Linked DNA regions of Alligator mississippiensis. The protein of the gene in region 1 purifies or fractionates together with the protein of each later gene. This does not show direct contact. Links are inferred from orthologs where the notes say so. Each region holds a gene or a part of one and is shown in the gene's direction. Other genes may lie near its edges.

Region 1 (3,746 bases):
CACCTCCGAGGATGGCTGGTTATCTTAAACACAACATTCTTTTTTAAATTAATATATTTCGTGTTCCAGGTCAAATCAGCCCAATCGGTTCCAAATGATATTGGCTGAGCAGAACTCAGCCGTTCCAAACCCCGCATGGACTGAGCAGGCAGAACTCAATCATTCGCAGCACCATGTATGGCGCTACAACCGGGAGCATCCTCCATCCCAGGGACTTCAGATCCGCCCACATCCATCGGCAGGCGTCCTACGTGCAGGCCCAAACCCGGAGGTCTTGGCAATCAGATGCCCCCACTTGATAGTTGCATAGTTGTTGGGGGCTGGAAGGGACCTTACAGATCACGGGGTCCGGCCCCCCTGCACTTGGGCAGGAAAGGAAAGGGTGCGTAGAGCGTCCGTCCGTACAGGGCACAAACCCAGGACCTTGGCGTTATTAGCACCAAGCTCGAACCACCTCAGCCCACACGAGATCTCAAGTAAGCAAAGCTGCCTCTCCCGGAGCAGCGAGCGAGGGCACTTTCTGCCTGGCCGCTCCTGCCGTGCTTGGCGTCCAAAGGCCGCAGGGAAGCAGGACGGGGCGACGCAGCGTGTGTGGGGCGGTGCAGACGGACCCCAAAACCCCCACAGGCTTGGGACCACCCCTGCGTGCGCAGAACCATGCGTGGAGCCCGGGCCCAGCCCTGCTGGCTCGTACAGGTCGCCCCCTCCGCACTAACGGGCTGCGCAGCCTGAAGGGAGCTCTGGGGGGCTGCTACGTGCCAAGGCTCTGGGGCCCCGCTGCAAGCGGCGCAGCCACCCCCTGCCTGACAGCCCCGGCATGACAACGGGCCTGCCCCAAGCACCACAGCGCTTTTCGGCCGACAGAAACAGAAAAGCCGAGCACAGGGAGGCTAGGAGGGGCTTTGGCCTCTCCTCCTCCTTCCCCTTTAAGGGGGGGCGGGGCGGAGGGAGTTTGCGGAAGGGAGCGGTGCACGGCGCGCGCTGAGTGGCTGTCGGCGCCTCGTGACCACCCCCCCGCCCCGCACCCCCCGGCGTTCCATTGTGTGCGCGAGCCCGGCCGCGACGCCAGGCCCCGCCCCTCACCCCTCAGGCCCCGCCCCTTCCCCCCCGCCTCTTGGCTCACTTCCGGCTGCCGCCGCCGCCGCTCGCTTCCCTCTCGGAGGACTCGGGAGAGCGAAGAAACAACAGCCGCCATTTTGTTTGTGTGCGAGCGACTGAGGGAGGGAGGGAGCCGGAGCCTGGGCCAGCGCCGGCCGCACGGGCAGAGCCGCACGGAGGCGGGGAGTGCGCAGAGAGAGGCGCCGGGACCCCCTCAGCCGCCCTCCTCCCCTCGCAGCCGGCAGCCGGGCAGGACAGCCCGGATCCCGCCCCGCGCCCGCCCCCCGCCGCCCCCCCCACCCCCCGGCCATGGCGGAGGCGAGAGGGAGGCTGCGCCGCGCCTGAGGGGCGGAGGAGGCCGGGAGTCGCCATCCCCGCGCCCCGCGGGGACAACCCGGCCCGCCCGAGCCCCGGCCTCGCCCGCTCGAGAGGGGGGCTGTAGGCAGAGGGGGGGAGGGGCCGGCTGCTTCCTCCTCCTCCTCCTGCTGCTACCGCCGCCGCTGCGGGGGGATCGCTCCATCTGCCCGCGCGGGGGGGGGCGCTGCCGAGACGCCGAGCGACGCCTGCCGCCGCCCCGGCCGGACCCCCAGCGCCGCCGCGGCTCCGGCGCCCGCACAGCAAGATGTGAAGCGGAGGCTCCTGGGACGCTCCTCATCCTCCCCGCGCTGCAGCCATTAGTGCCTGGCCCGGCTGGGAGCTGGGCGCCCCGCACACGCGCCGCCCTCCCCGGCCCCGCCGCGGGGCTTTTTCGCAGGGCGGCGTCGGAGGGGGAAGGCGCTGCTAGAGGACGGTGATTTTTTTTTTTTTTTTTCCCTTTCCTCCTCTTTTTCCCCCCCTCCTCCTTCTCTCCCCTCCTTCGCCCGCCTCCTTGTGGCGATGAGGAGGAGGAGGACGACGCCGAGGAGGAAGAGGCTGATGGCGGCGGTGAAGAGGCAGCGGCAGCAGCAGGAGGAGGAGACCCCCCGGAGGATGATGAAGATGATGGTGGCGGTGAAGAAGCACCAGCAGCAGCAGCAGTGCACCCGCTGGGATTAATCGGACACGGCCTCTGGCAGCTTGATTTTTTTTTTTAAATTTGATTTATTGTTATTAATCTTTTTTTTAAAAAAAATTGGCAGTGTTGTTGCTGGCCGGGGCTTTCCCAGCTGCTCTTCTCATCCGCAGCTGCCCTTTGGCCTGGGGGGAAAGGCTTCCCTTCTCTCCCCCCCACCCTGCTGCCTGCATTTGCCCCACGTCTCCGCTGCCACCCGCCTAGAGACTGAGCCTGAAGGGCAGAAAAAGGGGAACTTGCCCTGCTTTCATCTCCTCCAGATCCTCCTGCCTCTCTCTCCGTGTTGTTGTTCTTCAGCTGAATCAGGGCCCTGAGAGAAAGGGGCGATCTTGGGGTTCCCCCTTCCCTCCCCCCCTCCCCAGCCTCCTGCGCTGTTTGTCTAAAAAAGAATTAAAAATGGCCGAGAATGTGGTGGAGCCGGGCCCGTCTTCAGCCAAGCGGCCTAAACTCTCCTCACCGGCGCTCTCCGTGTCCGCCAGCGACGGCACAGGTCAGTCTCAGGGGCCCAAGCCCCCACCCTCTTACTGCCCCAGCTGTATACCCAGAGCTGTTTTTTCTCTCTCCCTTTCCTCTTACCTTCAGTTTTACTTCTTCCCTGCCCGCCCCCCCCTTTACACTCTCTTCCTTTCCCTTTCCCTCTACATTCCCTCCCTGCACCCCCTTTCTTTGCATCTCTTCTGTGCTAACATCACTGGAGGGTGATAATTGTTGTTACTTTTTATTTACTGGAAGAGCTAGAAACGTAAGGTGGTTGTCTCCTGCATTTGGCCATTTGCAGAAAAGCCTTAATTTACCCCTTTTTTTTCCCCCATCCATTTCATTTCGCAGCAGTAATTCTTTCAGAGATCTTTATTCTCTATCTCTGTTCCAGTTGCAGGCATAGGCAATAGTACACACATGCAGCATCTTCGTTGCATTTCTCTCCACTGTCTTTCTGTGTGTGTGTGCACGCATGCAAATAAACAGGGTCAGCCCATAGGGGCTGTTTTTTTTGGCTTGTATGTAAGGTTTTTACATAGCATTCAGATTTTTCTTAGCAAATGGTTTAATTCTCTTCCATTCTCAATTTCCCCCCCTCATTTCACTTTGATTATATTATTGACTTTTTAACTGTTCCTTTTCACTTTTTCTCTCTTGCACAAGGATCTCTAAAGATGAGGTATTCTGCTGTTTTCTTTGATTATTTCCAAACTTATCTGTCTCAATCTCTATTTAAAATAAAGATTATGGGGTATGTGGGTTCACCAAGAGCATTTATATCTTCATACAAACATGCATTATTTCACCTTATTTGCATTAAGAATCAATATGGAGCGCAGTTCATTCTGTATCTCCCATTTCTTTGCTGCTGAGACCAAAATGTCTGAAATTCCCATTTAGATTTACCAGGTAGAGAAGATGAAGAGGGTGTTCTTTGCAATCTTGCAAGGGTTTTTAATGATGGTGTTTTAGGGGGGGAAGACTACTCTGTAGAAATGTCACAACAGAGAAGAAATATCACTAAAGGATGCAAGTTTTAAGTGTCCCAATCCTCAGCAAACATGAATGAGCTGTTCTTGAAGCTTCCAGTGGGGTGTCTGCTTTTTAATGAACCTCT
Region 2 (3,746 bases), on another chromosome or scaffold:
AGAGTCCTTGTCAACAGCATGGACTCAGTCGCCCCCTCGGTGTCTGTGGGTGGGCAGCCGCCTTCACAAGAGCTCCCCTGGGCCCACAACAGTAAGGAGCAGCAAGAACCATGAATCACAGCCCAGGGTTTATTGAAACCAATCCACGTACCAACACGTCGCAGCTGGAAATTAGCCGATGCTGCTGCTGCTTGGAGGCTGCCTGAAAGGAGCAGGTCTCATCAGGCCGGCGGCCGAGACTCAGAGAGCGCAGGATGCTGCTGCTGAGGAGCGTGCCCGGCCTGCAGCCCCTGACCCTCCAGGTCATGGCAGCATTGGCGCTCTTGCTAACGCTCAGAGCCAACAGCCTCCCACGGCTGCTAACATGTGGGAGCAGCCTGCTTGGATGCAGAGTGACAAGCAGCACCAGCAAACCTTCAGCAGCTGAGAGGACGCAAGAGCATTTGATCAAGGGAACAGGACATGGGATGCCCACACATGGAGGCACAGGAGGAACAGCCTGAGGCAGCTACTAGAGCCCTCCCAGAGGCCAGAGAAAGGTGGAGTCAGGCCAGGCCTTAGAGGGCTTTTCAGGGCACAGGCAGGGGACAGGTTCAGCTAAACTCACTCGGCCTCCTGGCACGTTTGAACAAGATGTTTCTGTCTGGGTCCGGGCAGAGCTGAGCCAGCAGTAGCAGCGCCTAAAACGTCAGGCACAGGGGTGTCCATGTTCAGTGCCCAAACAAGGACTCACATATTCGTGGAGACACTGATGGCTGCCACGGGAAGGGCAATATGGGATCCACCTTGTCCTGCTGCCCTTTCACCCAGGTGAATGGGGGCTGCACAGACCCTGTAGGCACAAGGCACAGGGCAGAGGAAAAGCCGACCAGCTCGGGCTGCACGGAGGGAAGAGGTGCTGTGTGGATGCGACTGCCACGGTTGGGGTCCTCGCACGAACGTTGGGAACATGTTAGACATGTAGCCACATCCGCACTGCTCACGGCAGCCGGGAGCTGCTCTGCGTCTGCGGGAAGTCAGAGTGTGTTGGGGCCTGGCCTGCGCCTGCTTGGTGTCCCTGCGAGTGCCTGGCACACGCGCGATGCCACACCAACGCTTTGCTGCTCCAGGCCGCAGGGAGAGGGAACCCGGAGGCCGAACTGCAGCCCAGGGCGCCGTCACTCCTTGAACTTCCACTCCTGCCGGCACATGGGGCAGTGCTGCTGCACCTGCTGCGAGTTCAGCCACTTGAGGATGCAGTGCATGTGGAAGCAGTGCGAGCACTGGCCCCACACCAAGGGGCAGTCATCGCCGGGCACCTTACCTAGGAGGCAAGGACAGCGGTCAGCAGGGAGCGAGCGCTTGGGGGCAGGGGCCGGGGAGCGGCGACTCACAGTCCGGGCAGCAGCCGTTGAAGGCCATGCGGCAGATGCCGCAGTTCTCGTCATTGGCCACCCACAGCCAGGACGCCACCCCGTTCCAGCTCTTGATCTTCACCTTCATGGCGCCGTGCACGGCCGGCTCCCGGGCGCCTGGCAGGGGCGGCACGGGGTCAGGGCCCAGCTCAGGCACCGCCACCACGTGCTGCCCCCCGGTCACATCTGCCCCCCTCAACCACGTGCTGCCCCCCCCCCCGGACTTTATCTGCCCCCAACACCCCCCGCGACCATGTGCTGCCCCCCCTGTCATATCTGCCCCCTCAACACCCCCCGCGACCACGTGCTGCCCCCCCCCGTCACATCTGCCCCCCTCAACCATGTGCTGCCCCCCCCCCCGGGACTTTATCTGCCCCCCCACCACATGCTGCCCCCCCCGACTTTATCTGCCCCAACACCCCCTGCAACCACGTGCTGCCCCCCCATCACATCTGCCCCCCTCAACCACGTGCTGCCCCCCCCGGGACTTTATCTGCCCCCCCCCACCACATGCTGCCCCCCCCGACTTTATCTGCCCCAACACCCCCTGCAACCACGTGCTGCCCCCCCATCACATCTGCCCCCCTCAACCACGTGCTGCCCCCCGACTTTATCTGCCCCCCTCAACACCCCCCGTGACCACATGCTGCCTCCCCGTCACATCTGCCCCCAACACCCCCCGCGACCACGTGCTGCCCCCCCCGTCACATCTGCCCCCCTCAACCATGTGCTGCCCCCCCCCCGGGACTTTATCTGCCCCCCCCCCGTCACATCTGCCCCCCTCAACCACATGCTGCCCCCCCCCCGGACTTTATCTGCCCCCTCAACACCCCCCCGCAACCACGTGCTGCCCCCCCCATCACATCTGCCCCCCTCAACCACGTGCTGCCCCCCCCCCGGACTTTATCTGCCCCCCTCAACACCCCCGTGACCACATGCTGCCCCCCCCGTCACATCTGCCCCCTCAACACCCCCCGTGATCATGTGCTGCCCCCCCCCGTCACATCTGCCCCAACACCCCCCGCGACCACGTGCTGCCCCCCCCCCCCCCCGGTCACATCTGCCCCCTCAACACCCCCCGCGACCATGTGCTGCCCCCCCAGTCACATCTGCCCCCCAACACCCCCCGTGACCACATGCTGCCCCCCCCGTCACATCTGCCCCCAACACCCCCCGCGACCACGTGCTGCCCCCCCCCGTCACATCTGCCCCCCTCAACCATGTGCTGCCCCCCCCCCCCGGGACTTTATCTGCCCCCCCACCACATGCTGCCCCCCCCGACTTTATCTGCCCCAACACCCCCTGCAACCACGTGCTGCCCCCCCATCACATCTGCCCCCCTCAACCACGTGCTGCCCCCCCCGGGACTTTATCTGCCCCCCCCCCACCACATGCTGCCCCCCCCGACTTTATCTGCCCCAACACCCCCTGCAACCACGTGCTGCCCCCCCATCACATCTGCCCCCCTCAACCACGTGCTGCCCCCCGACTTTATCTGCCCCCCTCAACACCCCCCGTGACCACATGCTGCCCCCCCGTCACATCTGCCCCCAACACCCCCCGCGACCACGTGCTGCCCCCCCCGTCACATCTGCCCCCCTCAACCATGTGCTGCCCCCCCCCGGGACTTTATCTGCCCCCCCCCCCGTCACATCTGCCCCCCTCAACCACATGCTGCCCCCCCCCCCGGACTTTATCTGCCCCCCTCAACACCCCCGCGACCACATGCTGCCCCCCCGTCACATCTGCCCCCTCAACACCCCCGTGATCATGTGCTGCCCCCCCCCGTCACATCTGCCCCCTCAACACCCCCCCGCGACCACGTGCTGCCCCCCCCCCCCCCCGGTCACATCTGCCCCCTCAACACCCCCCGCGACCATGTGCTGCCCCCCCAGTCACATCTGCCCCCCAACACCCCCCGTGACCACATGCTGCCCCCCCGTCACATCTGCCCCCAACACCCCCCGCGACCACGTGCTGCCCCCCCCCCCCGTCACATCTGCCCCCCTCAACCATGTGCTGCCCCCCCTCCGGGACTTTATCTGCCCCCCCCCGTCACATCTGCCCCCCTCAACCACATGCTGCCCCCCCCCCCCCCCGGACTTTATCTGCCCCCTCAACACCCCCCCGCAACCACGTGCTGCCCCCATCACATCTGCCCCCCTCAACCACGTGCTGCCCCCCCCCCGGACTTTATCTGCCCCCCTCAACACCCCCGCGACCACATGCTGCCCCCCCCGTCACATCTGCCCCCTCAACACCCCCCGCGACCATGTGCTGCCCCCCCCGGTCACATCTGCCCCCTCAACACCCCCCGCGACCACGTGCTGCCCCCCCCCGTGGTCACATCTG

What was found. Proteins that work in one complex are often made in the same cells at the same time.
Region 2: the proteins of EP300 (region 1) and ALYREF purify together in Homo sapiens (affinity purification with mass spectrometry, with the first as the bait; 3 studies listed by BioGRID). This does not show direct contact. The link is inferred for Alligator mississippiensis from reciprocal best matches to the Homo sapiens genes EP300 and ALYREF.

Annotation. Positions count from the first base shown.
Region 1 is NC_081827.1:97,652,458-97,656,203, reverse strand, and holds the start of EP300 (histone acetyltransferase p300), read left to right. Parts: upstream 1-1,139; 5' UTR 1,140-2,545; coding exon 2,546-2,639; intron 2,640-3,746. UniProt on the Homo sapiens protein: Functions as a histone acetyltransferase and regulates transcription via chromatin remodeling. Acetylates all four core histones in nucleosomes. Histone acetylation gives an epigenetic tag for transcriptional activation.
Region 2 is NC_081831.1:485,487-489,232, forward strand, and holds the start of ALYREF (THO complex subunit 4), read left to right. Parts: upstream 1-1,364; 5' UTR 1,365-1,399; coding exon 1,400-1,511; intron 1,512-3,746. UniProt on the Homo sapiens protein: Functions as an mRNA export adapter; component of the transcription/export (TREX) complex which is thought to couple mRNA transcription, processing and nuclear export, and specifically associates with spliced mRNA and not with unspliced pre-mRNA.